Lepisosteus oculatus: one gene and its partners. The main gene of each other region encodes a partner of the protein of the gene in region 4 in a complex. Links are inferred from orthologs where the notes say so. Each region holds a gene or a part of one and is shown on either strand. Other genes may lie near its edges. The genes, in order: taf13, taf4a, taf7 and taf6.

The links.
Region 1: taf6 (region 4) and taf13 share a complex: the UniProt entries of both Homo sapiens proteins name them as parts of the TFIID basal transcription factor complex. The link is inferred for Lepisosteus oculatus from reciprocal best matches to the Homo sapiens genes TAF6 and TAF13.
Region 2: taf6 (region 4) and taf4a share a complex: the UniProt entries of both Homo sapiens proteins name them as parts of the TFIID basal transcription factor complex. The link is inferred for Lepisosteus oculatus from reciprocal best matches to the Homo sapiens genes TAF6 and TAF4.
Region 3: taf6 (region 4) and taf7 share a complex: the UniProt entries of both Homo sapiens proteins name them as parts of the TFIID basal transcription factor complex. The link is inferred for Lepisosteus oculatus from reciprocal best matches to the Homo sapiens genes TAF6 and TAF7.

What each region holds. Positions count from the first base shown.
Region 1 is NC_090700.1:3,894,511-3,902,026, forward strand, and holds the start of taf13 (transcription initiation factor TFIID subunit 13), read right to left. Parts: upstream 3,223-7,516; 5' UTR 2,986-3,222; coding exon 2,959-2,985; intron 1,954-2,958; coding exon 1,875-1,953; intron 1,287-1,874; coding exon 1,189-1,286; intron 1-1,188. Other genes in the region: casr (extracellular calcium-sensing receptor), read right to left, coding at 6,498-7,516. UniProt on the Homo sapiens protein: The TFIID basal transcription factor complex plays a major role in the initiation of RNA polymerase II (Pol II)-dependent transcription.
Region 2 is NC_090711.1:8,523,732-8,531,937, reverse strand, and holds the start of taf4a (transcription initiation factor TFIID subunit 4), read left to right. Parts: upstream 1-4,746; 5' UTR 4,747-4,766; coding exon 4,767-4,998; intron 4,999-5,142; coding exon 5,143-6,141; intron 6,142-8,206. Other genes in the region: lsm14b (protein LSM14 homolog B), read right to left, coding at 1-21, 270-433, 813-933. UniProt on the Homo sapiens protein: The TFIID basal transcription factor complex plays a major role in the initiation of RNA polymerase II (Pol II)-dependent transcription.
Region 3 is NC_090703.1:50,850,151-50,858,683, reverse strand, and holds the start of taf7 (transcription initiation factor TFIID subunit 7), read left to right. Parts: upstream 1-5,433; 5' UTR 5,434-5,530; intron 5,531-5,824; exon of another isoform or gene 5,825-6,031; intron 6,032-6,112; exon of another isoform or gene 6,113-6,202; intron 6,203-6,477; 5' UTR 6,478-6,502; coding exon 6,503-6,542; intron 6,543-6,693; coding exon 6,694-6,770; intron 6,771-6,872; coding exon 6,873-6,951; intron 6,952-7,471; coding exon 7,472-7,605; intron 7,606-7,924; coding exon 7,925-8,048; intron 8,049-8,362; coding exon 8,363-8,421; intron 8,422-8,533. Other genes in the region: timm8a (mitochondrial import inner membrane translocase subunit Tim8 A), read left to right, coding at 148-309; magnesium transporter NIPA2, read right to left, coding at 2,340-2,989, 3,272-3,432, 3,761-3,851, 4,386-4,442, 5,278-5,419. UniProt on the Homo sapiens protein: The TFIID basal transcription factor complex plays a major role in the initiation of RNA polymerase II (Pol II)-dependent transcription.
Region 4 is NC_090698.1:7,388,053-7,395,788, forward strand, and holds the start of taf6 (transcription initiation factor TFIID subunit 6), read left to right. Parts: upstream 1-4,297; 5' UTR 4,298-4,423; intron 4,424-6,015; coding exon 6,016-6,171; intron 6,172-6,463; coding exon 6,464-6,550; intron 6,551-6,698; coding exon 6,699-6,852; intron 6,853-6,944; coding exon 6,945-7,001; intron 7,002-7,184; coding exon 7,185-7,304; intron 7,305-7,536; coding exon 7,537-7,658; intron 7,659-7,736. Other genes in the region: cnpy4 (protein canopy 4), read right to left, coding at 1,505-1,668, 1,792-1,909, 2,613-2,735, 2,814-2,910, 3,034-3,160, 3,827-3,911. UniProt on the Homo sapiens protein: The TFIID basal transcription factor complex plays a major role in the initiation of RNA polymerase II (Pol II)-dependent transcription.

The DNA of each region.
Region 1 (7,516 bases), on a different chromosome or scaffold from region 4:
ACGTCCATAAGTCTTCCACAAGCCAAAACTCACACTGAACAACAAATAAGCAACATGATCTGTCTATTTTGAACAGAAACTTTCATGATCAACTAATTAAAACACAATGTTTCTGTTACTATTATCTACATCTGGGGTGGAGAACACACTTTAAAACACATTACATTAATTACCTGAACAAGTCTTGCTTGAACTAACTAGTTGCTTGATTAAAAAAAATCAATTTTTTTCTCATCTTGCTTGGAATTTTATTTATGAAATGCAATAGTTCAAAGACAACCTCCAACATGTACAAGAGCTGAAAACAGTCACACAGGTCAAATTAATTCTGTTATTAAGTCAATTAAGGAGTTCAATTGTGTAGCAGACATCTCAGCTGGATCAGAACTTAGCATGTGTGTGGTCCTCTAGGAGTAGGACTGGAAAACACCGAACTAAATTATTCAGAAGTGCACTATATAGCACATGCTGTGGAGTTTTAGTACTGCAGAGAACAGATGTCTTCCACATGAGTAATATGAAGAATTTATTTACCCTTACAGAGGCCCCTGCTACAAGTGCAGGTTCCTAAATAAAGCAACTTGTAGCAAGAAAGAGGAATTAATATACATGAGGAATAATGTAATTAGCTTGAGATACATTCCTAACACAATCAGTTCAGACATGTATTTACATAAAATGTACCTAAAACCCATAAAAACAACAAATCAAAACTGATGAGACAAATGTTATTATTCTTACCAGGGAAATGGAATTGATATGTTGGAAAGTGGAAGTGTGACACATTGCCTCTTGTGAATAGAACTAAACCTCACACCAACACTTTTTTTTTCCCCATCAATTCCAACAAATATATAAAGATACGATATGTACATTCGCAGTGCGTTCAGAGGGCCACATCGCAGCACACTGCAGCGCCTGCCAGCCAGCCTACATTGCTGGGTTTTGGTTCATTGAAAAAGTGCATAATCGTGCGAACAAAATGAATATAGCTCCTTAATTAACTGATGAAGTACAGCTGAAGCAATGAATATTGATGCATATTACGGTGACTAATAACAGGGACCCTCTGTACCTCCATTTGCTTCCCAGAGCTCGACTAAATGAATGTTCTCATCTGCAAAGCTCACCCTTCGAACTCAGGCTCACACTGCTAGGCAGAACAGAGCAGCTGTGCTCACAACGTACCATTTCTGTGATGAACTCTATCACAAGATCCTCCAGAATGTCCACAGACTCGGTGTAGGGGTTCTGATCGTCCCCGAATCCATACATCATGCATCGAACTGCGTGTGAGGGAGATAATACCACACAAAACTGCAATTGAGGCTACAATTGTTAATGAAATGGCACACATTATTATTATTATTATTATTACTACATGAAGACAAAAGCAAGAGAGAAGATGATAAGAAAAAACAAGAACCCCCCAAAAAATAACATCAAAGTCTTGAAGTATGTAACTATCAACAAGGTACAGCACCTTTGAAAACACATTACGACTGCTGACGACTGCAGCAGGAGGGGAATTCTGATATGAAAAAGTACACTGGTACTACTCTGCATTTCGCAGTTTTATGATAAAAAGCTGAGGAAATTTCTATAATTTTGTTAGTTGTTTTTTACGTAAAAAATAGCTGAGGTAAATACTTCACGAATATTCCCATTAAGCAGAGGCCCCCAAAAATATTCTGTTGAAGCTTTAGAATTGTCCTGTTGACTAAAGCTGACAGCAGTAAAACGAGCCCTGACTGCTTTTTGGCAGAAAAGAGAAGGATGAAGCTTTAAATCGGGACATGCGTGTCTCGCGTATAAAACAAACAAGCTCCTGTGCCACGAGGCGACGTCAGAGGGAAGCCAATGGAAAATCTCACGTTCTTTGGAGAAGAGCCTTTTCCTTCTCCCATGACCCCCCTCTGCCCCGCTGCCTCCTTCCTCGACATCCTCCTCGAACTGCAAGACAGAGCGGAGCACGGGACCAGTTCACTTCCAGGAGGAAAATCACATTTCACACTGGAATTCCTGTCACTCTTAGTAAAGCACGGACAGAGCTCATCTGAAACACACACACACCACTGTAACACCTAAACGTTCTATACTCTTCTGTGGCCACCCCAGGCTTCTGCAGAGCCCAACTCCAGCAGGTGTTAGAGAGTCACCGGTTTAGTAAGAACTTAGAACACCGGAGTTTTCTTCAGTTGAGCCAATACTGTACATTAAGTGGTTCAGGAATGAACCACTGGCATCCCCAAGAACTATGGGGTGCAGGTATTTGGATTTCAGGTGATCTCTGAACTACATCGTTTCATAAATCACCGGCGTTAAGAGGTCAACCAGCTGCTGCAGATCTGTAATAAAAGACGGTGGCCTGGAGGGTTGGTCGAAAACTCCCCTTTCTTAATAAAAATCAAGGGTAGCGCTGCTTTGGCCACATCACTGCCTTCTGACTAAACATTTAAACGGGACTTGCATTATAAATACTAATAGGCGACTCATAAACGTGCACGAAAATTAAGCTTTTTGGAACATGTACAGACAGACAAATCCTTTCTGCCATGAAGCTCGCTGGTGGACACAACTTGCAGTTTCTAATTTGAGCCCGCTGTCTTTACACAAGCAATTAATTTATGGATCTTGTTTTTAAATTGAGCTTCAACATTCAGTCCAACCTAAATACAACATTTTCTTTTGTATTAAACCAGTACTGTTCTAAAATGAGCACTGCAGGGAAACAAAACATGAAATTCCAAATGCCGGTGTCGATGTGCATGAATATTGTCATCACCCCAGGACCAAGTACAATGAAACAAGCCCGGGCGAACTTTCACCTATGTCTCCCCCCGTCACTGAAGTAAGAGAAAGGAAATGAGCACTAGGCTCTATGAGGCTGGAATGAATCGAAGACATCACAAAAGTATCACAGAGCGTGAAAAGGCGAGAAAAAAGATAAATACACACCGCGGGGTCATCGTCGTCGTCGGCCATCCTAGATCCTACTAAAGCCGCAATTGTAGCGAATTGGTGTGCAGGGAGACGCAGAAAAAAATCGGGATTTTACAGGCTAAGACTGAAGCTTGAAGAGTGTGTGTAGTCAACCGCCAAAAACTGTACCGGTACTTTACCAAGGGAACAAATTTCTGCAGCTGTCCAGGGAACTACTAAAAACAAGCGCTGGGCGCTAGCGACCATTCACTTCCTGGGTCCCAGGTCATGTGACCTTCCGGTCAGATTATACCATTACAAACCGGAGCGCTTACTGACATTACATTCTTTAACCGTCACCTATTGCCAGAACTTAAATAGGTATAAACACAATTGTAGTAAAATACTTTACAAAACAAACTCCTAATCCGTTTCTGAGACATCTTTTGCACCCACGCCGATGGTTTTATCTACGCCGGCGTGAGGCGAGTGGACGAGTCCTGGTTGCGCAGATTCCCGCAGCTCTACGCAGATACTGCGCAGATTGGAAGACAAAACTGTTCTAAATGCAAAGCAGGATCAGGAGTCTCTACCCACGACTTTCCGATTAGTGCAGTCTTTTGAGTCCATCTCACTGTAGAGATCTACGAATGACCGATTAGGGGAATCGCTTTAATTACAATAATTAAGTTGGTAGCTAGCTGCAGAGGTCAGTTTGATTGAACGAGGTGCCTATAATGTGGACTTTCTTTTCATGACTTAAAAAATGTTTTTTAAAAATCTTTTCTCTTTAGAAGGCCAGTATTAATCACATAACATTAAGCGAATTGCAGTCCACAAACACTGTACACTTTCTCTGCATGCGGATGATGGTACAAATGCCGTAAAATGTCACGCTGTATAAATGCATAACCTGGCCGGATTTGGCTGGAAAAATAAAAGGAATAATGCCGGATTAAATGTAATTCTGGGTGAGCATTGTCTATGACTGTTCCTACCTATGGTCGCTACAGTTAGGAGAAACAGTGGTTAAACTGCGTATTCTCCAAGCTAGCAATGGTTACAATAAAGTCAACCAGATAATCCGTTTGCCGCCCTGCTCGTACCATCCAACGTGAACCATCGTCATCGTGTTTATTCTGGAATCGCTGTTGGGAAATTCCACCCCCTCGGTCGGCAGGAAGAAATCAGCTTTGAAGTGCGTGTGCGTGTAGCCCTGGTCTCTTCTTGGCCTGTGCGGAATGGGCTCGGCAGCTCCCACGCTGTTGCTGGAGTTTCAGTCACACCCACCGAGCCCAGCAGGGGGCGCCCGGAGAGACGCGTGATTCCCCTCAAGGGCCGGAGCCGGCGGGCCTCTCTGCAGACTTCTGCTCGTCCAATTAGGCGGTCAATGAGACCCTTGGTGAGGTAACTGAGGGTCTGGGTGGGAGGAAAACCAGGTATCTCACGCATCCCCCCCCGAAAGCGGAGCACCGTGCGAAAAACAGATGTGGTGCTTTCAAGTACCAGTTTTTATGTTTGCTAAATGCCAACAGCTTGCCTGGACAGGCCCTGGCTACCCAGCGGCCCTGTGCTGGACACAGCTGCGAGATAATGGAGACAAAACGGACGAGTATCGACACAGACAGACATCAGTCCGGGAGAGTAGTAGCTCTATCTAAAATAAAGTTATGTGTAGCACAGGGTGGTGTTCTTTTCATGTAATTGTACTGCGAATAGAATTATTATCCAGAATAAGCTAAACCCCAAGAGAACATTTCTTTTAAAACAAAGTTGTTTAATCTTTCGTACAGGGGTTACATTTGACATCAAGCCCAAAGATTTATAGTTCACATGAAACAACAGGGCCCGCGTTGAATAAGTATTAACTGCTTTCATAATGACATGAAAATACATTTAGATCCATACAGACTATTCTAAAACGTCCCTAGCATTAACAGAAGCGCAATTTTTTCCTCAAGCAGTGAAGACTAATCTAGAACAGGAACACCTAACCCGAGAATGCACAGTACACTGCAGTGCTAGCCCCTATATATTCAATTACCCAACATTCCTGGAAAACTAAAATTATGCTTAGTGTCCCCAAAAACTTTATAGGAAAGAGATGAAAGATTCAAATGTTCTTGTAGATTCACTGACGTCACTGCATCCAAGAGAATGGTACAGGTTAAACGGGTCTGCTATTGAACAGTGTGCACAGTTTGTACTTACCGGATACATGCTAGCAGACACAGGACACCTTAGCGACCTCTCTTGGATAGCCCTGACAACAACCTGAGGACAGCAGTATCCCAGCCTTGGGCATGGTAAAGATCGTTAATGACCCAGCATTATTAATGTGCCGCTAATCTATTGCCTGGTGGGGGGGGCTATCATTGGACCTGAGACCTGTTTTTGTGTCTCTGCTGTTCCCACAGGGTCAGCCGGTGCTGTACAATATAATTCTGTAAAGCCCTCTGTGGTCAACTGTTGCAAAGGGCGCTACAGCGAATGAAGATTGATTGATTGGTGAATTGATGGGTTGATACAATGTTCGTTTTTGGAGTAATTTTGTCTGTGGTCTTTATCACGATTAAAACCAGGCACACAAATGTAAACTGCCTCAATTCGAAAAGTTTGCACTATTTCATCTGTTGTCTGTATACCATGCACTTGCAGAAAAGGAGAAAAGGACAATCCTTAACGGGTATTTTTATGTAGAAAATACTTGATAAATGTTATGAAAAAGTCCCTTCATACTTCACCCTCTGTCCTCTTTCAGTACCAATGACATTACAGTACCAAATAAAATTATAGTATGTGAGGGGCTTAATTGCTCAAAAAAGCTATTTTTGAACAATGTGTAGAACACTAGTAGAAGTGACTAATGCAAAGCAACTATCATTCTAAATTTCAGTGAATGAAAATAGATTTGAAAAACATGGATACTGATGTGCACTTTATTATAGCTAGTAATTTTTATTGTTAAATACCTTAATAACCTTAAATGCTAAATATACTTATTTATGGAGAGTATTGATTTATCATCTTAAAAAAGTGTTTTAAGCAGACCCTTGAAACCCCAGTTCAGAAAGGCTCACACAAATGACCTTCGAAAAGCACAACAGCAGTGTCGCATTAATTTAAGAATTTAAGATTCATTTGTTTTATATAAACACAAATAAGGAAAAATGTATTCTTGTAATTAGAGTGGTAACGTCTCTCTAAAACTGGGTTACCATTTCTGTGTAATCGTTTTGCATGTTTTTAATTGGGCCTTTCTCAGTAGATCTTAGTGCTTGTAGTATTTAGTACTTTTTCTCCTCAATAAAAAGCAGAGGCAGAGAGTTGCAGAACAATTGGAAGGGTCAGCTCGCAAACAGATATAGCAAAGGTCCGCGTCCCGGTAGGAGCAGGAGATAAACTCGGTCTGATGCTCACAGTGCTAGACATTCAGCTCCAGGTTACAAAAAGTGATTCTAATGTGAGCGCCGCAAAGGAGCTCCCCTCGGGCTCAGCCCAGGCGGCCTCAGCCTACTTCTGAGAGCACTGGGAAGGGGGGGGGGGGCGGGCGCGGAGGGCGTCGCGAGAGGATGTTAGGAGTTGCTGGAGTTCTCCGTGAACGCGTTGGCCCCAAAGCCGGCAGAGTTCGCGGAAGGGAAGGGCGCGGCGTCGTCAGCGGTGCTGCCCTCCTCCTGCTTCCTCCCGCCGGCGGCTTCCTGGGAGGGGTTGCTGCCGGCGGTCCTGAAGCTGGGGTCGCTCCGGGCTTCGCTGTTCTGCAGGGGCAGCAGGGCCTTGTGCCTCATCAGGCTGTCGCCGCTGTCCTTGCCCTCCAGGGAGCTCTTCCTCCGGCTGTACCTGACGGCCACGGAATTCTTCCGGGGCTCCTCGAAGCTGAGAGAGAGCATCACCTTGCCACCGCCGAAGCTCACCGTCTGCTTGCAAGCCCTCTGCGGCCCCGCTGCGGGGAGGTCCTGGTCCTCGTTGCTCTTGAAGCTGATGGAGGACGAGGGCGTGGACACCGAGGAGCCGCCGACGCTGTTGGACCTCTTGCGCGAGACGGCGCTGCGCCGCAGCGTCGCCCGGGCCGCCACCTTGAAGGCGTGGGCCGCGGTGCTGCAGCGCACCTCCTCGATCGTGTTCCTGGATGGCTTGAAGAGGATGATGTAGACCTTGTTGAAGAAGATGCAGGCCAGGAGCCCGAAGCTGGAGGCCAAGATGGCGATGACCTCCACGGCCGACACAAACTTGCCGTAGGTGCTGACGTAGGCGGGGATGAAGGAGATCCAGACGATGAAGAAGATAAGCATGCTGAAGGTGATGAACTTGGCCTCGTTGAAGTTCTCTGGCAGTTTGCGGGACTTGAAGGCAAAGAAGAAGCAGACGGCGGCCAGCAGGCAGGTGTACCCGATGAGGAACCCCAGTGCCATGAGGGAGCCCTCATTGCAGGTGATGAAAATGATCTCGTCCATGTCATGGTTGCTGTAGCTCTCGGGTGGTGCGTTGTAGAGCCAGACCACGCAGATCATGATCTGCACGAATGTGCACATGAAGACCAGGAGGAACTGCAGGTTCAGCCCCCACCACTTGCGATGAAGGCTGGTGGGGATCTTGG
Region 2 (8,206 bases), on a different chromosome or scaffold from region 4:
TGATGATCCACTAAGTGACGACTGCAAAATGAAGAACACAGCTATACGTTTAGATTAAATGCTAAATGATAAAAAAACATTTTCAATAAAGCACTTAAAAATGCATTAACACATCAAAAATTGCATTATTCGTATAAACTTTGGATGTCTGACGTGCAATGTTATTGAAAGCCATTGCATATTAATGACACCCAACAGTACAGTTATTCGAACAATAAGCAGAATCAGGCGCACAAACTTCGGCCACGAACAAGTCGCGTCCCACATACTTGCACAATCGCCGGGTCCTGGGGTAAGGCATGGAGAGGCTTCGGAGGCTCGCACACCGTTATGTCTTTAATATCACTTCCCCTGAAGATGATGTACTCGTAGATCTCGTCCCTGGGAGGCACTGGTCTATCTGTAGGGCGGCCCTCCGTCCCGAAGGATCGCACTAATCCAGGGAAGGACAAATGGCATTAAGACCGTCGGTTCCCACTTCATTACTTACACACAGGTAACAGGCTAGCACCTAACTCCTAAAATAATGACTATCCCGAAGTAACATTCTTAAGAACCAGAACTTTTTCTTGCTTTTACGCCGGTAAAACAATCTTTAACTTGCGAACTAGTCTCTTAAAAGAGATTCAAAGGTACCGAAAGGTAACTGGTTACTGGCGCCACCACCTCAAACGAGGATACAAACACCCCGCCTCTCAAACACAATCATTTCACGGGCACCTAAGAGCGTCTCTGTTACATCTCCTATAAATAAACACGAATAAAAAGGTTTGTAAGTTTCCACTGGAAGAAGGAAAGCAACTGGTACTCACCTTTAGCTAACGCCACGGTCGAGTTCTCCGTATCTATGGTGTACAAAATACCCTCATATCGGATCTGGGCCTTGGATATGAGGCCAATTTTGCTACCAAGGTAAGGTGTTCCGGTACTCATGGCCGGTATATATGTACTTCCTTTACCAACTTGTAATTTTCAAAGGAGATTTTTTTTTTCCTCCACTCCTACGTTCGATCTTTAATTGTAGCAATGTTAACTTGTTAAGAACACCGATCTTAAACATCAAACTCAGCCGAGTGATCCGCCGCCCCATCTCGCACGGTTTTATAGAGAATTCGGCAGAAGAGGCTGAAAACAATCTATCAATCAGACAGTCAGACAGACAGACAGACAGAGGGTGCCCCCTGCCGTTTGGAAGACAGAAGTAAAGACTCTAGTAATGTTTCGCGTTTTGCTCAATGTCGTAACCCCCAACTTTGCACTTGAGCCGTAATGCGGTATGTTGGCTATTGGCCCTTTTAACGATTAACTGTAGAGCAAAGATCCAAGGACAGCGTTAAGAGGAATTGCATTTAGGACAGAAACTAGCTGCTACTTCTTTACACAAAGCGTTGTGAAGATCTGTTACACAGCTAATAAATATTTCCTTACATTTATATAGCTCTTTGCTGGGCACTCCACTCAAAACGCTTTACAGATAATGGGAACTCCCCTCCACCACCAGCAAAAGTGATGGCAGACACATATCAGCTATGGAAGAGAACACAGTAATAAAGCCAATTCATAGATGGGGATTATCAAGAGGCAATGATTTGATAAAGGCTGGGTGGATTTTTGGCCAGGACACCAGGTTAATATGCCTACTCTTTTCATGAAGCGCCCTGAGATTTTTAATGACCACAGAGATTTAGGACCTTGGTTTTACATCTCATCCAAAGGAAGACGCCCTTTTACAGTCTAGCGTCCCCGACGCTATACTGAGGCATTAGCACCCACACAGGATGCAGTGTGAGTGCTCCCTACTGGTCCCAATAACACCTTTTCCAGCTTTCCCAGAAGGTCTCCCATCCAGGTATTGGCCAGTCTCAAACTTGTGGTTTGCCAGCTGTGCGTTGCAGGGTGATCTAGCTGGTATCTATAGCTGCCTCTACACGGAGTTGAAACACATTTCCCGATTCCTTATGAAAAGGATTTATGAAATCCCTTGGTAAATAGTAAGATGTTATCACCTAAGACAAATCAAACTGACTCCTAGCCTTTTTTAACCTCAATGTGTAATGGAGTTCTTCAATACAATTAAAATGTCTTAGACATTCATATTAACACTCCCAGTCTCACTGAGTAAATTGTATTCACACCATTTTCCTCTGCATGTAGGGAGATTTAGGGAGATGGTCGATGGCACAAAAAGATAGAGAACGAGTTTTAGAGAACCGCTCAGATTTTATAAGTCTCATTTTATGTATTGGTGACTCCACTGTAACTACTACATGACTTACTATGTAAGTATACATGTATAATAAGAATCTGCATCTCCTCCATCCATGTAATTTTTTTTATATAGCCAGCACCTACATTACTCTGCAACTCACAACTGACAACCCACTGAAGCTCAGCAGGTGTGAGCCTGGTCAGTACCTGGATGGGAGACCTCCTGGGAAAAACTAAGGTTGCTGCTGGAAGAGGTGTTAGTGGGGACAGCAGGGGTACTCACCCTGTGGTCCATGTGGGTCCTAATGCCCCAGTATAGTGACAGGGAGACTATACTGTAAAACAGGCACTGTCCTTTGGATGAGATGTAAAACTGAGGTCCTGACTCTCTGTGGTCAGTATAAATCTCAGGGCATTTCTTAAACAGGTTGGGGTGTAACCCTGCCCAAATTTCTCATTTGTCTCCTAATAATCCCCAGTAAATTGGCTTCATTACTCTGCTCTCCTCCCCACTGATAGCTGGTGTGTGGCGAGTATACTGGTGCACCATGGCTGCCATCACATCATCCAGGTGGATGCTGCACATTGGTGGTGGTGGAGGGGAGTCCCCATTACCTGCAAAGCACTTTGAGTGTCCAGAAAAGCACTAAGTGTAAGATAATTATTAGTGAAAAGGCACCAATCTGGTGTCAACTCTGTTAAAAGACAGATGACAATGCTAGGCGTGTTTGAGATCAAATAAGTATATACCTTTAGGGATAAAATGGACAAGCAGCCTTTCAGGTGTGTGTTTAGCAAACAAACAGTGAAAGATACACGACAACCAGTAAAAAACATTTTAAAGGGCTACAACATATTGAAGGAGAGACAGCTCACAGGAGAGAATACACCTATGTAATCCACGTGCTCTGTACATTTTCAGCTTCTTAGCAGGTTAGTTGCATATGATCTTGATTTTCAGTGTAGCTTATTCCAGTCCTGCTTCCTCTGGCAATGTCTTGTTATACAGACAATACACATCAAACCTGCGCTGAAAGATAAATATATTGAAGTTGCAGAACCCATTAAAAGTTCAAATTTTGACAAACAAAAAACCAGTGCACATTATTTTACCCCATATATCATTGCCAACCGATTCAGCTGAGGCTCTTATGCATTGCAATTTAAATTCAGACATTCATCTTCTTACTGCATTTAGCTTGTTTCCTGTATGACAATTTTATAAACAGTCCTGGTTAAGTGTCTAAGCAAATCAAGGAATAAAAAAATAAATAAAAAAGTGGTGTAAGCAAAAACATACCCGTTAATAAATTAACAATACAATAATCACAACAGTACAAGATAACTCATTTTATGTGGATTTATTTGTATGACAATTTTGTCCAAAGCGATCTACAAGAGGAAATGAAACATTACAAATCTTAATTAAATTTATACAAAATGTACAAATTCACACTGCAGGGGGAAAAAACCGAGCAGAATACGTGCTGCGAATTGGGGGCGTGAGCATTTTGAATAGATGGGAAGCAGGACGTACAGCTACAGCTTGAAGAGGTCGAACAAACGGAGAGAAAGGAGCAGCCCTTATTTTTACTAGGACTGGGAAATGATTCGGCTTCGAACAAGGGCTAAAGGAACTTTAAAGTCAGACACGGGAGACTGTCAAATCGACACCCCGAAAAGCCTGGCCGTGCTTCTCAGGTCGTAAATGGGAGCACAGGATAAAACCCAAGTTTTCCTCGGATGAAGCGTCTAGCTTGGGTACTGCCACCTTTCACTAACGCTTCACATCTCCGCTACGCGGGTGTAGCATCTCGGAGTCACGGTCTGTAAATAGTCTGTTTCATACAATGACAGTTGCACTGACATAAATATACTTTCCCCTTTTGTTTAGTGGCGGAGTGCAAGAATTCATTTATCAACAAACAAAGCCAGCCATGCCCTCTTACACTACCGCAACACAGGTCAGATACGATTCAAACAAAAAAAAATAATCAGTTCCGGTCTAATAAAGGAAACCGCTTCTAACTCGCACCCACCGCTGAAATACACTTTACAGTATTACAAGATAACCCCCCAGTAGTCTCGACAGCATGTACTACACGCTCTTGGCAGCACTCTCAGGTGTGGCGCCCTCACACACTCTCTGAACTTACTGAACAAAAACAACGCAGCCATCTTGAAACGCAAGTACAAAAAGCCGAAGCGCCAAAACAGAAAGTCTCTTCGATTTTTGCCAGATTCACAACTCCAAACCAGCATTAAAGACTCATAAACATCACTGCCTGTAATTTCCAGTTGGGTCCGTTATTTGCGTTAAAAAGTAACGCGGACACAGCAGCTTAATACTATTATACTTAAACCCCACCAGCTCCTCAACCGACGGTGCTGTATCATCCTCTACTTTCTCGATAATGACGCTTTCAGCCATTTGTCCCGCCCTTTAAATCTGGAAACAACCAATCAGAATACGCCGGAATCCCTATCCCGGTGACGTTTCACACCATTCGCGCGTGCGTGAGGCCGGGTAACCCCCCCTCAGCTCATAGCAGAGTAAGATGGCGGCGGGCTCCGATTTGCTGGATGAGGTTTTCTTCAACACAGAGGTGGACGAGAAAGTAGTTAGCGATCTGGTGGGGTCCCTGGAGTCTGAGCTAACCGGCTCGGGTCACGGGAACACCGACATAAGAGGTCAGGCGGTGGGGAACCACATTGCAAGCCCTGGGGTAGGAGGCAATGCCAGTGTCCAGGAGAGCAAATTGGGACTTGCACAAGATCTGGCAAAAGCAGGTAATGTAACATAGTAAACGTTGTTTTGGTTTTTTTCTTTTCTGTTTCCGAAAGAGAAAATGTAAACGAATGCATTCATTGCCATGCCTTCCAATGTGCTGTGATATTTTTCCCTCTCACTCTGGTTTGTTTCCGTTCCAACAGGGGCTGGAGTGCAAGGGGGTGTTATTAATAATACGAGGTCCCAGGGTTCAGATATGGATGCAACGACAGGGATCACATCATCGGCGGGGTCGGAGGCATCAGTGGGGCTCAGCCAAGGCAAAACTGTGGCTGTCAGTGCCATGGTAACCGCTGTGCCCAACCACGGAGCGGGCAACGGGAAAATCGGGACGTCTGCGGTGCAAACTTTGAATGGGAGTAATGTAGTAATGAACTCTCACAATTCAGGAAGTGCCGCTGTTTTCCCCGGGACGCCAGTATCAAGTGCTACGACTTGCAGCAGCAGCAGCAGCACTGCACCTGCTGTCACAGTTGTCAACAACGGACCTGGATCGGTTGTGAAAGGAAATGTAAACGCTGTTTTGCCTTCAGCCTCAAGCACTGTTATACAGACCTCTTTCGTGAACGCGCAGAATGTTGTTACTTCGACAGTGATCTCGTCTCAGGCGACAAGTTTGGGAAGCGGACCTACAGTGACTCTAGTGCGGCCTCCGATGCACACGACCGGACCGGGTACGACGCAGAATGGGAGTACGAACAGTACGGTCCTGACTTCGGCGGTCAGTGTAGCGAGCCTGCCCGCCCCGGTGGGATCTGGAATATCTTTACAGGCTCCGCTTTTAAACAGCAGCCCGTCGCCCGTGAGCGCCGGGGCGCAGGTGATCAAGTCGGAGTCCCCCAAAACTATCATCCAGACTACAGCGCAGGCAGTTGCGCCCGGTGTGGTGGCGAACGCCGGTAACTTGACTCTTGGTCAGCCTATGCAAAACGCCCTGCAGCCAGGACCTCCACCGCAGCCCAGTTCGGCCGCGGCTATCGGGAAGAGTCCGGTCTTGCAGAATGTAGCCAGGACTTCCACTCCGGGAGCAGTCGTGCCCGGTCCGGTCGGAATACGGACTATAGCTCCGCAGGTGTTGGCTCCCCGCCTGCCCCACGCACCGCAGAATCAGCCAAATATCCAGAACATCCAGCTGCCTCCAGGTAAGCCTTTAAAAGTTTGTTTTTATTATTGAACACACCAGCAATTCTAGGGGTTTTTTTCCCCTTGAAGAACTTTTAAGAGCTGTCCTTAATTCTAGACAGGATCCTAACTCCTTCATAACTTAATAGGGACTGAATCGCTTTTAGTTCATGATTAGCTCAGCGTCTGAAGCCCAAGACAAATTTCATACACACGCTGTGTAATTATAGTCACGGTCTTGCTCGAGTAAGTCAAGAGATTGCACTTTTTTTTTTTACCTTTTATCTTTCTCGATCATGTCGGTCGTTTTATTTTCATGAACGATAATGTGCGTCTCAAGAAGAGCGTCTGCTGATGCCCCTTTCGGATAAGTCTGTGAATATGTGTAATTTTAAAGTTAGGGAACTGAAAAAAAGCTTATTTATAGCCTAAAGACCGAAAAGCTAAGCTGGTATCCAAACGTTTTTGGTTCCAATGTGTACGTTTTATTAAGTACTCCGACTTTCTTTCCTTCTTAAAGTGGCTGCTGCCACTACAACCTAGCAAGTAGAAAGTTTGGCTTGGCAAGTCCTTAAACCGTGACAATTGATGAAATATAAACAAAGACAATGTATTTTGAAGTTTGTAGAGCAAAGGTCATTATTGCACGTTAACTGTGTGTAACAATCAAAATACAGCAGCTATTCATAAACCCGTTACGTGAATCTATCCAAAGCTGAGGCTGGTGTTTCTCTCTTGGAGAACTTTTCAGGAGAGAGGAAGTTTGAGCAGGAACTTTGCAACTTATCACTTTGCAAGATAAACCTCTCAGTAAACATAAATGGCAGTTTAATTTAACAATGTAGTAGTAATAAATGACTCACAAACTGTTAGAATCAGTAACACAGGTGGCAGAAACAGTGATGACTGACAGAAGCAGTCCTCTGTGTGAGGTGTTTATTTTACACTAGTAGACATGACTGAAGTTACCCTGTGTCCTCTGAGCTAATCAGTGTTCCTAGGACCTCTTGTGCCTTAGACAGAAAAGTGAATACTGTATTATTTGTCTGTATGTGTGTTTGTTTTTACTTTCTTCGGTCCTTTAAAATCTAAAGTGTTTAAAAGCTGCTTGTTGCCATTGCTCTAAAGAGATTAATGATTACAGTGAGAAAAAGTATTCAAAAGAGGTATGTAGGCCTTATGTGTAGTTAGCTCCACTGTGAAGAAAGTTTTTAACAGTAATTCAAAACCACAGTTAGTCTAGTTACTGCATCTGCTGGTTTTGTTCATTTTATTAACAATCTGCATACCTTCGTGAACAGTTAGCCCACACAGAGGCACTGACAGATTGCTTCGGTGGTCTCTGATTTTGTACCTAACTATGACTATTAAGCATGAAGGAGGCTTAATTTCAAGCAAGTTGTTGCCGTTGTTAAACTAAAGTCTGGATTAGCTGGTGTAAAAACGAAGTTCATGTATAAAGGGTTGTTTAATCCACCGACGTAAAAAAGAATAAAGTTGTTGGTGGCTATGCTAAACGCTCCAGCTCAGAAATTGTGGTGGAAGAAGATGTGATTTCAAACTGCCAGGCACACTTACTACTTCACAACTTCACAGCACTCGGGCTATATATTCACTTCTCTTTATTTATAATAGTGCAAAGTAGGCCTGAGATATCCCTACATTGAATACTTCCTTTCTTTCTTATCCATCTCCCTGGGATATCAAAATACTGAGCTCAAGTCGTGTGATTCCAAAAAGTGCTAGGTGCTAGGTGACAGCGGAGTAAGAAGTGTCAATACTATATGATTTAGAATGGGTTTAAGTAGCAATGCAATACGATGATTTTAGTACCTGTAAGTAAAAGATATAACCGTGCCCCGATTAGGGGATGAAGATTACCCGATTGTGTCAGTTGGAATAATCAAAGGTGGCCTGTCGATGAGAGAGAGTGCCTGAAGAATGAGATGCTCTGTATCAGCATCTGCAGTCCCGTCCCGGGAAACCAGGAAACCGGCCCTCCGAGGTCATGTCTTGGAAAGCTGTGGGTCCTCTCACTGGCCCGGGACTGTCGGCTTCTTCTGTGTGGTCGTCCCTCCACGGCAG
Region 3 (8,533 bases), on a different chromosome or scaffold from region 4:
TACTGCAAGGGTGAAAGCCCAGGAAGAGCACCGGGTGTTCAGCCCCGTTTGTCACGAGCCGGCACTGAGCTGTCACAAACGATGCGGGCCTTCAGTGCACAGCAGCGGTGTAGAATTCAATGCTCCTTCTTGATTTCCCATTTACAGGACAAGTGCATGGATAAGCCGGGGCCGAAGCTGGACTCCAGAACAGAGACTTGCTTTGTGAACTGTGTAGAGCGCTTCATCGACACCAGCCAGTTTATCCTGAACAGACTGGAGCAGACCCAGAGGGGCAAGGTGTCCCTCTCGGAGAGCATGTCTGACTGAGCCTCGCGGGGGCACGGAGCCGGGCCTGAGCACAGCGCCACAGACATGGGGGTGCACCCGCGAGGGACTGACGGGGCAGGCCAGGGGCGCGAAGACAAGTACAAATGCCCCTGGACTGCCGGCACCCCCTGCCATGTTGTTTTACCCCAAGGGCTGATTCTGACACCTCCCTCATCTCTCCGGGTTCTAGGAGTCATTAGTGAAAGATTTCAGTTTCGTAAGACTACGGAGTTGCCTTTAATTTGAAATCCCCAAAATGTTTACTACATGCAGAGTAAACCTGTTCAATGTATGTAAGTGAAAGGTAAAACCACCTCTGGTTATGGAAAGGTTGTATTGTGTGCATGGATGAAAACGATGATGAAAAGTATGTTAACTGTTGGTGGCTCAGTCCATTCAAAGCTTTAAAGTGTTTAAATTGAATTTTAGTGTGAACATTCGACAGCGGGAAGCTCTCAAAATACACCTACAGTGTGACATTGTTTGCCCTGTTTCCATTTCAAATATAGAAAACTGAAATCGTACTGCTTGAAGTCAGTTTTTTTAGTTAGGTTTGATTTTTTTTTTAAAGTAACGTTCGTGCTGAATTCCTTGTTAAGCCATTCAGTGAGGTTTTTAGGATGTGAACTATGTTAATTTGAGTGAGAAAACAGACTCTATTGTGCTTTTTAGCCACTAAACAATCTAAGGCACCTCTTGCATAAAATTAACTAACAAAACACATACTGTATAAAGAAAAACTAATCATAGCTGAATTGCAGTTAAACAGCTTTCAGTTTTTATTAAAATCCTAAACTCTTATTTACAATAACAAGGTATCAAAAATTAAAGATTGTTTTTTAGAAAGGAACAATAAATATACACATTTGATTTATGACACCAAAGATTACAAGTGTGCTAAGCCATTACGCTTGTTAATACTGTAGTTTTCACGTATATAGCATTTGGGAACGGAGGAGATCAGTCCACCTGTCACATGTAAACAACCATACAGCTTCTCCAGAAAGCCACTGTAATTACACTTCTCCATGAAATCTCCTCCGGCCTCCAGCCAGACAAACTGCACACTGAGTAAAAGTGGAAGAATCTGTGCAGTGTGGAAAATCAACCCGTGGAACCTGTCCCTGCCACCAGTGAAAGGCACGAGGTGGTACACATGACCCCTGAATAGACGTGTACAATAACCTGGCTACTAGTCTCCAGTACTGCAGTTCATTGAATTACAGAATTCTCCAGAATTACGGCAATCCTACAGAAGTACTGAGAGTTGTGCAATTCAGAATTATACTAATTACTTATACTGTATAAACATATAAACGTGTATGAAATGATTGACACAAATGAATAATACTATATTAACCGTGTTCAACTTTCTGGACCTCAAGTTGTTAATTGCACCACTGGTAAAAATACATTTAAAAAGGCACCTATTCACGTGACAGTTAGTGAAAAAAGTTACTCTAGTGTTTTGTAGCTAAGCATTAACTTCAGCACAGAAAATTAAATTCTCTCAATTACAGTTTCCTAGACCTACATAGATCCTACTGTAAACCTTGGGATCAATAAGAACAAAAGACACTTAAAAAAGCCAGTGAGCTAATGAGCACAGTGCTGTGTGACGTGTCAGTCCTCTCCCCATTTTTATGCATCCTCCCATTTCAGTGCCACATGTTCTGCAAAGAATGGGAACAGAACTAGTTTTAATAGTGCAGACCTGTCAACCAGAGCCAGCGGCAAAGGAGAAGAGTTAAAAAAGATGATTCATGGGGAGTAAAAACGAAAGGAAAAGGAACAAGGATGGCAGTATGAAGTCCTGTGAAACAAGAGGGACTTTTGTGAGAGTAGTCATTTGCAGAGAGAGGGGGTTTTGCTTCCTTTTGGACGAGTACTGTATTTTAAAATATTTTAGAAGGATACTTCCTAGAAGGCACGGTATCCTTCCCAGATTCCGTTCTAAAAATATCTTCAAGACCCCGAATTATTATAAAACAACAACAACAGATGGGTGTTAAAAGGATCTGGCTCCACTGTTAGGTGACCGTGACGCTGCTGCTTCTCCTGGCTGCGCTGTCAGGAGAATGCCTCTTACTGCCTCCCTCCCTCAAAGGCTGTCCCCCAGGCGTTTCCGCCTCCTGGCTGGGCACGGGAATATAGGGCTGGCCCCAGGGGGCCCCTCTCTGGCCCCTGCGGAGGAAGAGTGGGAGGGCATCCCAGGTGAAACTGACGTCCTTGAAGGCGTGGAGGAGAAAGATGCCCACGATGATGGTGAGGAAGCCGCTGATCGTGCCCAAGATGCCGTCCGCGGACATTTGGAACCACTCCTTGAAGAGGATGGCGGAGCAGGCCATGACCGCGGTAGTGAAAAAGACGTAGTAGATGGGAGTGACGATGGACGTGTTGAAGATGTCCAGCGCCTTGTTCAGGTAGTTGATCTGCGTGCTGATGCAGGCCACCAGACACACCAGCAGCGCCCAGAACAGGGGCTCCTTCAGCACCGGCTTCCCCGCGAACAGCTCCTTCGCGCCGATCCCCAGCCCCTTCACACAGGACACGGAGAGGGAGCCGATCGCCGAACAGATGAAGATGTAGACCAGCACATTCTTCTGGCCGTAGCGCGGGGCCACGATGAAGATCAGGACCAGGCTGCTCACAACGACGCACGCGGCGAACACAATGAAACCTGCAACAGGCAGAAGACAGCAGTTCTGTTAAAGTGAATAATCTGAAAGAAAGAAATCGGGCGCTCGCTCGGCAGCGATCACAGCTTTCAACATCCAGCTTTTTGCATCCCACTTCAGCTTTCATCGCCGGCGTCTTCCTGTGGCTCAAGCCAAAACCAGACAGGGCTGTGATCACTGACCACTGCCGGTCACTTAAATCACAAACTTCAAACTTAATTTCAGCCCAGTGAATTCCGGAGGGCACATTCACCCCCGAGAGACTGTGCAGGTGTGTGACGTACCGGGATCTTTCAGCTTTTCCGCCATGGAGCTCAGGGAGTCCACTTCCTCCTCCTGTGGGGCATGGATGACCATCACGGTGGAGCCTAGGATGCACAGCAGACACCCGATCTTCCCGTGAACATTCAACCGCTCGTTGAGGAAATAGGAGGACAGCACAGCGCTGAGGAAACAGGAAGGGTGAGAGGGAGCTCTTGGACAAAAATGAAAAATGAAAGTGCTAGCACCTGTCAGAAATGTAACAATCTTTCTTGCATATCTGTATGTTATTAAGAACACAGGTCTTTTTGTGATGTGTTGTAAGTGACCCTTATTAGGATGGTTTGATGGAAGGTACCAAGACCATACTTGAAACAAATATCGGAAAAAAGACTTTTTTTTATCCAAGCGATTTACCACTGTTTTCATCAAAATGGCACACGGGTAAAAAAAATACACAGAGAAATCAAACAGCTTTTGCAGACTGAGCTCGTGTGTGTGTCCTGACTCACCTCACCAGGACGCTCAGGGCTCCCAGCGGCGTAACGAGCGTGGCCGGCGCAAAAGCGTAGGCCGCAAAATTCGCAGCCTCTCCCACCCCCACTGCAACACAAGAGGGCAGAGCAGGTCAGGAGGCACGCCAGGGCTTCTGCCATGAACACACTTTTGTTTTCAATCACAGTACTTTCTTTCAGAGGGTTTGGGCCTCCAGTCTCTGGCAGAACATGTGTCTCAAAGATTTCCAGATTAAAACAACGTACAGGTGAGCTGCAACGTCATGACCCGTTCATAAAAAAATGAAACACACCCGAGTATCTGGACATAACGCGCAGCACAGAGCAATGTGAGAGGAGAAGAGAGACGAAAATGGCAGAGAACCGAAGAGCCAGAATGGTTCTGATCTGGACATCCCTCCGGGTTGTCAAAGCACCACAGACCACCACTGGGTCAAGCGCTGGTTTAAACAAAACAAAGGCATGATCTTGGAAAGAAGTCTCTGCTGCTCAGACACGTCTTTCCGTAGCTCTTATTACAGTAAATCATAGTGGAAATGACATTCCTGAATGCTTTTGAAGAGTCTCGAAAATAAACTGTAGGACTTGTAGAACCCAAAAGGACACAGACTTCACGACTTACTTGAAATAAGTCCTGCCCACCACAGCCACTCCTTGAGGTAGGCGTGTCCTCCTTGGCCTGCACAGGGAAGGACAAAACAAAATGCCTTCATCTCCCAGTGTCTCCCGCTGAACTGCAGCTTATCACCACTGACAGCATCAGTAGCAGGAGTACAGGTATGTTTCCTTCAACACTTGTTTTAGCTCATGTCCAATACACCGACTGAACCAGTTTTTCAACGCAATCTGGTTTTCTGTGACAGGTACAAACAACAAAACTGGGAAACAAGTTCTCCAGCATCAACCGAAGAAACTCACAAGTGGGAAAAGACATTCCATTCCAACAATAATACGCCATATTTAAACACAAACACACTGCAAAGTGAACATCTTCCTAATTAAATAAATTTCATATTATCAACAATGTGAAATTTTAAAGAGATGCAAGAATGTCTCACATTTTCCCAAGATATGATGTAAATGGGTGCGACGTATGCTGTAACTCTTCCTGACCAGGTCACAGAAGGAAGTGACAATGACAAGATGACAGAAATGATACACGGTGAAAACACAACAGTCTAAGTTTCACATCAATGGTTCACTTCCCATTCAGGTACTGCTGTTTGCGTTTTACAGTGTGAGCAGTTACATTTGCTGGTTGTCTGAGTAGTGTACTGTGCCTTGGGATAACAAAACACTCTGCTCAAGTCATGTGATTGGTATTTGAGTTATTTTCGGAAAAAAACTACTTTAAAACTGGGCTCTATTAAACAGCCTGGAGAAACTGAAACAAAAGTTACACAAGGCACAGAGATTACAACGACGAATCATGCGATCTAACAGTAAAGTCGACAGTAAACGCAAGGACAGTGAGTCCCGATAAGGTAAGACACAGTCGCAGTGTGGACACGTACCCGCTCGCATTGACCCCTTACTGGCCAACCGGAGGAGCCCCTTCTTCTTCAGAATGAAACTGCCCCCAATAAAGACACTGGAGCAGATGGCCAGGGAGAGGCCGATGTAGAAATTCACTCGGCTCGCAGCATCGATATCCATCTGTTGACAAATGATTCAAGAAAGTCTGATACTGGAGAGAAATCACAGCTGAGCTGAGATTTAAAAAGAAAGAGAGAGAGAGACGCCTCGATCTAAAACTCAACAGCTCAGGTATGACTGTTTCGTATTACATTTCGTTTTACTGAAACCTATCTGGAGATTGAATGCAGCGTCGTTGAAACAGGTCAAAGTCAGTATCTGCTCGTTTGTTGAGGGTGAGGTTGAGGTTTTTTTTTCTAAAAAGCAATCCGTTAATTCAGTTCTTACTGTAGCTATAATTCAATTTTCCAAGACGTTTATGTGATGTCATGGGACAGCTTTGTCATAAAACAATAAGTTATTTGTAGAACATGTACATAATTCAATTAAACCTATTCTGTAATAGGGAAAAAAACAGGAATTTACCTTGCAATCGTGCCCATAGACGCCTGATACAGAGCTCTGTCACAGGCCGGGGAAACCGCAACTTCCTCCATCAACCCGTCCTCTCCGTCTGCAGGTCCCCCAGCTCCGGCTGCCCGGAACCTTTCTTTCTCCTCTTCTGCCGCGAAGCACCGTTTTGAGCTTTCTTCTATTTTAATTAAGTAATATTATCGCTGAAGACACCGGAATCCGTAAGGCAAAAGGCGTTTAACCGAACTGTTGACTTAGTGAATGTGAGCCGTATTAAAACGACGAGAGCAAGGCGGACCCTTTGGAGAGCGGGAGTTGTTGTTTACAGGTAGTCTTTTCAAGAGAGTATCCGGTTGTGTTGTTGTGGAGGAGGAGGTACAGTTGTTGTTGGTAAGTTCAGTACGTATTTCTTGCGGGATACAGTAAGATTATATTTATGATTTTATTTTGCTGCCTCTAACTATATGTAACATATTATTTTAATAGGAGCCAGGGTGGTGCCGTTTATATAGTTTGTTTTTTAGTTTACTTTATTCCCTGCACTATTTTTGAAAATTTGCATCAAAATCAATACGTTAGTTGAAGCACAAACAATAAACAACGATATCTCATATCTCCTAATCGCTTCTTTCTCTGCGTAATAAAAATATCAATTTTCTTTACAGAGGACTTCGTATAACGCAAGTGTTTATGCAGAATAAGAAGATCAAAATGACTTCCAAAGCAAAAGGTTCGACATTTCTTTCTGTGCACTTCGTTTACCTGTACATATTTATATCCGGATTTATTTAAATTTCGCTTAGATGGTGATGCTTAGTTAAGTCGATTTCATTACAAAAAGACGCCCTTAACTGTTGATGTCTTGATTTGTTCTCCTCCAGTGGGAAAGGCAGGCTCCAAAAACAAAGACGACGCGCCTCATGAGCTGGAGAGCCAGTTCATACTGCGGCTGCCCCCGGTACGGAACCTGAACCTCTCCGAGATCGGAGATGCCGAAATCGACCTCATGTAGTTTCCATTGAAACGTCCTCCTGTTTTTTTTTTTTTTTTTTTCATGTAGGAATACGCCTCCACGGTTCGGAGAGTAGTGCAGTCTGGTAGCGTCAATCTGAAAGACAGACTCACCATTGAACTGCACGGTTCGTACCCTGGAAGAGTTCCTCGATTGCTCAGATATTACGGGACTTAATCACTAATAACCGCATGTCTGGATGTTGCACTGGCTTCATCGTTCACTGGATCGCAACAAACAAACTGGGTCGAGATACAGACGGAATAATCTGGCATATTCGACCATTTTCTAGACCCGATTTAAGGGCTAAAAAAAACAACACCGAAATGACAGTTGTAATACATGTGTCCCTCTACGGCGTCCTTATTATATTAATAGTTCTTACAGTTAGGTAACTTGATATCTAGGTCAATTTCAGGTGTTAAGACACCATACTGTATGTACTTAAAGAATCCTACACCAGCTCCTGAAAATGTAAAGCTTGTTCTTATGTTATGGTGGTCATTTTATGAAGTCTTATTTCTTTCCCAGTTATGATCAGTTGAGTTTGTGTTAGAGAATGCATTTCTCTGAAGTTACAACAGCTTCAACAGTTGTGGCCATGTGCTTTCACGCATGATCTCAAAACGAATGACCCCTCTGTGCAGCTGACGGGCGCCATGGGATCGTGAGAGTGGATCGCGTTCCTCTGGCCTGCAAGCTGGTGGACCTCCCCTGCATTATAGAGTCTCTGAAGACAGTGGATAAGAAAACCTTTTATAAGACTGCAGATGTTTGTCAGGTAAGAACGAAACATTCAAAGGCATACTGTGAAAATTCATGTCTAGTTTTAAAATGTACACTTACTTTGATGCAATTAAGTTTTAAACTAAATTTCAATTTTATTAGGCTATATGCACAGTATTATTTTGGATCTGTTTTCCCTTATTTAAGTGTGATTGATTTTATTTGTTCTCCAATGTTTAATTGTAATTTTTCTGTAGCATTTTTTCACAAATCCTGGGAAGTAGTCCCTTCCTAGTTATCTATCTAGTTATTCAGTTATGAGTGGCTGACGCTCTTTGTGTTGAGCTGTTCAAATGAATATTGTATGTACACAGATGCTGGTGTGCACAGTGGATGGAGACCTGTACCCCCCTCTAGAGGAACCCACAGGAACTACAGAGCCCAAGAACAAGAAGAAAGACAAAGATAAAGACAAGAAGTTTATATGGAACCATGGCAGTGAGTATCCACCCTGCTCGCCTCGTTGCTTTAAAACGTGTTGTTCCTTGTTTTTTCAGAGGCAGTATTATAATGAGCCTGGTAACAAAATAGAGTTTAAATACTTTGAAATTAAGTTTCAAATACGAGACTTAAGATGTACTGTAGCAAGGCAGTATTTTTTCTTTCGTTAGCAGTAGTTCTTCTGTGGGTTTATGCAGGTAGGTGGATGTGTTTGCGCTGAGCCTTTTCAGAGCTTCCTGAAGATTTTCAAGTGACTGTGAACGGCTGTGTCCATATGAACAATAATAGTCGTCTTTGGTTTTACTGTCTAGTCACTCATCCCTTGAAAAACACCAGGAAGAGAAGATTCAGGAAAACTGCTAAGAAAAAGGTAAAATTTAATGTAAAATACCCCCAAAATCTTAAAGCTATGTCAAGACTATACCCATGTTGTAGGTATATTGAGAGGCTCTTGAGATATTTGTTCTCTGGTATAGATTTTA
Region 4 (7,736 bases):
ATCCACGGGCCCACAGAGCACGGTCCCTCATCACAAGAGCTGCTGCAACAGGCAGGAAAAAAGCACCACAGCAGAGACCCACTCACCTGCAGGGGCACAGTCTATACATTTTCAGCCTTCTAAACTCCACACTTCCTAACTGAGGTAATGACAGCCTTACTTGGACCTGTTGAATGTCTTTCTCCAGTCCTTCTGGGTCTGGAGATCTGTTAAAACCTGCAGGACTGAAGGTCTCCAGGGCAGGAGCTGTGTACCCGTGTCTTACAGTGACAGGCCTGTACTGTGATGTAGAATGCAGTGCAGCGCTGCAGTTTTGTTTGAGGTTTTCTGTGACTCTGCTGGATCTTACACAGTTATACTACATAGTTTTACTGGTCTCTGCTGTTCTGCTTCAAATTGAACTGTACAATACTGTATTATAGCACTTTTATACTGTATCACTGCATTCTGTTGTAAATCACTAGGCTGCACTGCAAAAAAAAAAAACTATATTGGATCAGATAGTAGATGTAGCATACTGTATTCTACTGAACTCAGCTGTACTGTAGCACATACATAATATGGTAATATTGTGTACAAAAACGAAAGGTTAGGTATTTAACTCCACTAAACCAGACTGAACTTTTATGATATAAAGCAGAACTATACTGATCAACTCTAAGACTGTACCAAAACGGAATATAAAATTGTAATCAAACACACTGTGCAACAGATCACTGTACTGAGCAATATGGTGCTGTTCTATACAGCCTTACAGGAGCTCATCACAGCCAATACCTCACACAGGTAGCCTGTGCCCCCTGCTGCACTAGAATGGATATTATCATTAGAGTTCAGTCAGCAATGCAACACTTTTTAAAATTTTACGTTTAGCACATGATTACACTTTCTGAAAAAAAAAGAACTGGCACCCGCATTCAATGACCAGGGGTGAGCAGAGTTTTGACTGCACCGGAGTACCTACAGTGGAGCCAAAACCAGGTTTCATACTCACAGCACTGAAAGAGAGAATCCAAAACCCCTCACACTACTGTTTTGGAACTTTTGCTTTTCAAGACATTCAGTCAAAATGAGAAGAAGTGTAACAATAAAAAAACAGGCTAACTAAAAACTGTAACAGGCGGTTGCAGAAAAAGGTAGCGGCAGCTCTCTCCTTCAAGATCTCACAGCGATCACAGGGACTGTGTTTGGCTCTGGCTCACTCAAGTCTAAACTGCAAGTCTAAAATGAGCAGTTTAGTTCATTCAGGACAGGATTAAACCCCACCTAAAAAAAAGGAGAGCAATCAAAAATCACCTCCTCATATTTGTAGCGTTGGGTGACACAGCAGCCAGTGAGTGATTAATGCTGTCGTGTAGCTGTAGTGTTAAATGACACACTTATCCAGTCTCTGATGTGGCAGTGTAGCCAGTCCTTGCGTTTGGCAGCAGAGCTTATATTGGGGATAGAGTCCATCCATCTGGCTATAATAACATTCCTGAGAATATGTAAGGCCCATAGCATCTCAGAGCTCCCCTGCATCCCGTGAGGTGTGTGCTGCCCCTGACTCACTGCCCCCCTCACTCTCCTTCTCTGTATTCTCTTGCCCTCTCCCGCCTGCGCTTGCGGTCTTCTTATCCGGAGTTCCCTTCTTCCCCACGTCGCCTTTCCACATCTCCTTCAGGCAGCCTGCCGGAGAGGGGAGAGGGGTCACATGTCAATGCGTGGCAGTGGCCTGGAGTTCCTCTGGGCAAGAGTCTGCTGTGGCGCGTGCATGCTGCAGTGTCTGTAAGAGACAGTGTGCGCTCTCACCCATGTCAGAGCCCTTGAGGACGCGTTTCTCACACAGGAAGGTCTCCAGTCGCTGGTCCTGATGGTGGAAATACCAGTCCTCCACGACATCTTCATACTGCTCCAGCATCGTCTCGCACTGCAACACAACACCAGTCCACACACAGTGACACAGTCCTGTACAACACCCTCATTCTGCCCCAGCAACACAACACCAGTCCACACGCAGTGACACAGTCCTGTACAACACCCTCATACTGCCCCAGCAACACAACACCAGTCCACACGCAGTGACACAGTCCTGTACAACACCCTCATTCTGCCCCAGCAACACAACACCAGTCCACACGCAGTGACACAGTCCTGTACAACACCCTCATACTGCTCCAGCAACACAACACCAGTCCACACACATTGACACAGTCCTGTACAACACCCTCATACTGCCCCAGCAACACAACACCAGTCCACACACAGTGACACAGTCCTGTACAACACCCTCATACTGCTCCAGCAACACAACACCAGTCCACACGCAGTGACACAGTCCTGTACAACACCCTCATTCTGCCCCAGCAACACAACACCAGTCCACACGCAGTGACACAGTCCTGTACAACACCTTCACACTGCCCCAGCAACACAACACCAGTACACACACAGTGACACGATGCTGTACCATCATCATCATAACCCACTGCAACGTTGACACACAAAGGAACTGCAGCACATTATAATAAAGGAACACCCTTCAACACCATGCAATACATACCACAACCACACAAGATGACTAAAAACAAAGACAACGCAGTGATGCGGCCCACAGCGCCCCCTGTAGGTACCTGCTTCTTCATGTCCGACACCTCCACTGAAGGCTCGTCCCACAGCTCATAGGGGAGGCCCAGCTCCACCTTCACACCCTTATTCACCAGGTTCTTCAGAGTCATCATGGTCTCACTGGTGCCCTGAGACAGGAGCGGAAAGTGAGACCAAGAGAGGGGAGGGCAGGACCTTCAGCGTTTATTAACCAGACACTGACTGACCTTGGCGTAGCGCAGGCTGCCCGGCCTCTCGGCATGGACGTTGTACTCCAGGATGCCCTGGCAGATGTTGTCGATGGCCTCCGCCAGGCGCGTCTCTCTGGGAACACGTACACACACAGCACACGGGCACAGCAAATGTGTCCATCAGGAAAGGGGTTCGGGCTCAATCGCCATCACCTCCGCCCCCCCCCAGCCTTCGCCCTGTCAGCACCGTACTCACGAGGTGTTGTATTTGATCTTGCGTTTGCGTTTCCCTGTGTCCAGCACCTCGCCGAGCTCCAGCACCTCCTTCGACCGGCTTGTCTTATCCAGGGAGGCCTGCAGCTCCACTGTCAGGAACTTACAGACTGTGGGTCATAAACACACAGAGACACAGCAGTGCTGACACACTGGCCAGAACTACAGAGACACAGACACATCAACACTGACACACTGGCCAGAACTACAGAGTCACAGACACATCAACACTGACACACTGGCCAGAACTAGAGTCACAGACACAGCAGTACTGACACACTAGCCAGAACTACAGAGTCACAGACACATCAACACTGACACACTGGCCAGAACTACAGAGTCACAGACACAGCAGTACTGACACACTGGCCAGAACTACAGAGACACAGACACATCAACACTGACACACTGGCCAGAACTACAGAGACACAGACACATCAACACTGACACACTGGCCAGAACTACAGAGTCACAGACGCAGCAGTACTGACACATTGGCCAGAATTACAGAGTCACGGAAATCCCTGTTGAAATGCAGTTTGGGTGATTTAAAAGGCTCTACTACCAACCTTACACTTTTCTGTATAAAGTAAAGCTTGTTACAGTGTGTTACACTTTTCACAGCTGTACTCTTCCCTAGCAGTAAAGTAAATGGACGCACAGTACTGTATTGCGATATTATTTGCCAGTATTTTAATGGAGGGGCTGTCTATCCCCGTCTTTCAACTGAATTAAAGACAGAGAGACAGCAAAGCTAATCTCTGTGCCTTACTCACCTTCGCATTTATTAGGCAAGCGCTCATCCTCCTCCCCAGCGGAAAAGCTAGGAAAAAACAGCACAGCGAGCAATATAATTTTCATTATTTAAACAGCTTCTTCTAAAAAAATAAAACTACGGTTCTACTGTGAGGGATACAGCCACATCGACATATCAATATATCTAACCGCACAGTGAGGGCACAGAGCATGCGCACTTTAGCATGTGTGGGTACGGGATTGGCAATGAGTCTGCGCATTGACACTTTGTTTGCAGAGTACAGGTCCTGGAAGCTTAAAGAGCTTAAAGAGGTATACGATTAGAAATTAAAGGACAAACCAAAACAAAGATTTTGTAGTCATAGATGTATTTCTAATGGACGAATATATATCACATTCATATAATATCTATGATTATTTGAGTCTTTCTAAGAAAAAAGCAACTCATGTGATGTAACGTATCTGTAAGGGACCTGGAAGTCCTCACCAACCAAATCAAGATGGCGGCATTTCCAGAAAAGAGTGTCGGGGCATGAGGAATAATAATAAAAACATTATTTCATACTGGGCTTTTTTTCCTTCAGACGCCCGATTCTGCAGTTGTTAGTACATGAAAGGTGAGTGGTGTATGATTATCATCTGCGTTAAGGAACATGAACTCTGCTGAATGTGTAAAGCGAAATCGAAGAAAATGCGGGAAACCAAAACATAACGATAGTAGCCGTAAGATGTATGAACAAGAAAACACATGAGAGGCAGGAATTGAAATTTCACAGAACACGACGTGATTCTTTGAAGTGCTGATGTTATAGCATGCAGTAGAAGTACTGCAGCAACAATGCAATACTATGTGTCTCGGTTTTGTAAACGCGTCTCTTTCAGACTCGCTGTATGATTGATGTGGTCTAAGCTTCTGATTAAGTACGCCAATATTTAGCTTTTCTTTTGCGTTTTCCATGGTATCTTTCAGCGTTAGTAATCTCTCAGAATTCAGCTAAATTCAAGCGCTAGATGGTTCAGCTAAGGAGCGTGACGTATACGATGGATGACGTCACAAGAGTATAGGTGGACTGTTGTGAGGGGCCACATCTCTGACTTTGCCACGAGAGACCACCTTCCTGAGCCTCTGGTTAAGACTCTGCCTTTACATGTCTGCAGTTGTGCTACTATTTCTCTTTTCTCGCGTAACGGAGGGTGGTACTTCTATGGCTCAGTCAGTGTAGTGCTGTGGTGTTTCTGGAAAGCGTCTCTGCAGAGGCCGGATAGGGTATCGCATTGTTAAGCAAGATCGAAAATAAAAAGCTTGAGCTTGATCGCGCGTCTCCGATTTTAGCTTCTCTATACTGGTAACCAGTGTTGGGCTATTATTATTCAGGCTGATAATAAGATCTTGCAGCCTGTTTGTAGGGCTTAAAATAGTCCATATGATACTGAAGACTGCTTGGGTTCTGCTGGAGGGCCCTGCTGTACGTACCAGGAGCCAACACCTACAGCATGGGAGACCGTTCCATCAGGACTCCGGCACCAGGCCCCTCTGCAGCTCCTTCCCCAGGATTAACAAGGAAACGACCACTGCTGATCTTTTTGAAGACATTTTATACACCAACAGCCTTTTTATGCCCTCATCTCTTGTTCTTTTTTTTCGTGTTTTTTTTTGTATTCTGAGAAGTGCTATTTTTAGTGAAAGGCACTATTTAATAATTGCTCATAAAAAAACATCCTCAATAAGACTTACACTCTCCCAGGAATTTGTGTTCCACTTCACTAGCAAAAACAGCAGAGATTTCTGAGACCTACAGAACTGAGGTACAGTGTCCCCTGTGAGGGAATTCTGGGATAGACGTACAGAACTGAGGTACAGTGTCCCCTGTGTGGGAATTCTGGGATAGACTTACAGAACTGAGGTACAGTGTTCCTTGTGTGGGAATTCTGGGATAGACTAACAAAACAGGCGTACAGACAGTTTCCCTTGTGTGGGAATTCTGGGATAGATTTACAGATTTGAGGTCCAGACAGTGTCCCTTGTGTTGGAACTCTGGGATAGACTTACAGAATTGAGGTACAGACAGTGTCCCTTGTGGGGGAATTCTGGGATAGACGTACAGAACTGAGGTACATGCAGTGTCCCTTGTGTGGGAATTCTGGGATAGACCTAGAGAACCGGTGTCCCTCCGGTTGGTGTTCAGTGCCATGTATCTCTCTCTCCCAGATGGCAGAGGAGCGAAAGCAGAAGCAGTGTGTGACGGTGCTGCCCACCGAGTCCATGAAGGCCATGGCTGAGTCGGTTGGGGTGTCACAGCTGCAGGAGGAGTCCTGCCTGGCCCTGAGCGAGGAGGTCAGCTACCGCATCAAGGAGATTGCTCAGGTCGGTGACTCTCCGTCTTATCTGTGCCTGTCTGTGTTCATCTCTCACACATACCCCCCACGCCACTGCGCTCCAGCACAAGACTGACCCTCTGTTTCTGGATGACTGAGACGCACCACCAGCTCTTAGTCAGCCTGTTTCCTGTGCCTGTCTGTGTGCCTTTCTCTGATGCTTGCATCCGTTTGTCTTTCAGAAGTGGAAGTGATTTATTTGTAACATGTGTTTGTCTGTGATGGGTGACCAATTTGTGGTTTAGGCTGTGATTGGCTGACAAGTTCTGTCGTGCCCTCAGGATGCGCTGAAATTCATGCATCATGGGAAGAGGCGCAAACTGACAACAAGCGACATCGACTATGCCCTGAAGCTGAAGAATGTGGAGGTGAGACCGAGGGATTGCCATGCGTTTGTCACCATGCTCATTCACACAGGACCTGAGTTTCTGAAATTATCAGTTTTTATAGTAGATGTGCAGTGTGTGTGGTATTGTGTTTGCGTATAATAGCGTGTTGTGTGTGTGTGTGTTCCAGCCGCTGTATGGGTTCCAGTCCCAGGAGTTTATCCCCTTCCGTTTTGCCAGTGGAGGCGGCAGAGAGCTGCACTTCTATGAGGAGAAGGAGGTGGACCTGAGTGACATCATCAACACGCCCCTTCCCCGGGTGCCACTGGATGTGTCGATGAAAGGTAGATGGCCGATCAACAGACTGACCTGCATAGTGACTAATTGACAGACAGTCTGACTTACTCAATGACTCATTATCTTGCCTGTCTTGCAGCTCATTGGCTGAGCATTGAAGGTGTCCAGCCAGCCATCCCAGAGAACCCGCCACCAGGTGAGAGGATGCTGGGATCTGTAGTCCCGCAAAACTGCTGCTTTTTGTAGTGACAGTGGGAAATGAGCAAACATTGACTTTTGTATGGCACTGACCCTAGCTGTAGCCACCTTTAGTTTAATCAGATTTTACGATTGTGAAACACTGGTTGTCTTTCTCTCATGCCCTCCTCCTATCTCACAGCACCAAAAGAGCAGCAAAAGGCTGAGTCTACAGAACCTCTCAAGGCCGTGAAGCCCGGACAGGAAGAGGAGGGGCAGATTCAGGGCAAAGGTCAAGGAGCGACAACTGCAGAGGCTAAAGGTTAGTAATCCTACTGCTCTTATGTAGTGAGGGTTGAAGTGCTGTGTAATCATTCAAAAGTTTCCCGATCTGCAATGTATTTTCAAGGGGGTCTTTGTGTTCAGTTTTCATTTATAGACTGAGTATTAACGGCACTGGAAAAAATAAAATTATTAAGAGCTGTAATAGTCTGGTGGCAGGCTCGTCGGAGGACCAGGGTGTTTGTTAAAACGTCTCTCCCCATCTTTCTCAGGAAAGGAAAAGTGTGTGTTGCGATTGAAGCCACGCAGTACCCATGAGCTGTCCGTGGAGCAGCAGCTCTACTACAAGGAGATCACCGAGGCCTGTGTGGGCTCCTGTGAGGCTAAGAGAGCTGTGAGTCCTTCTGATTTCCACCAGCCTGCGTGATTATGTCTGTCACGCTGCCTGGCTGTGTCTATGTGCACTTGCCTG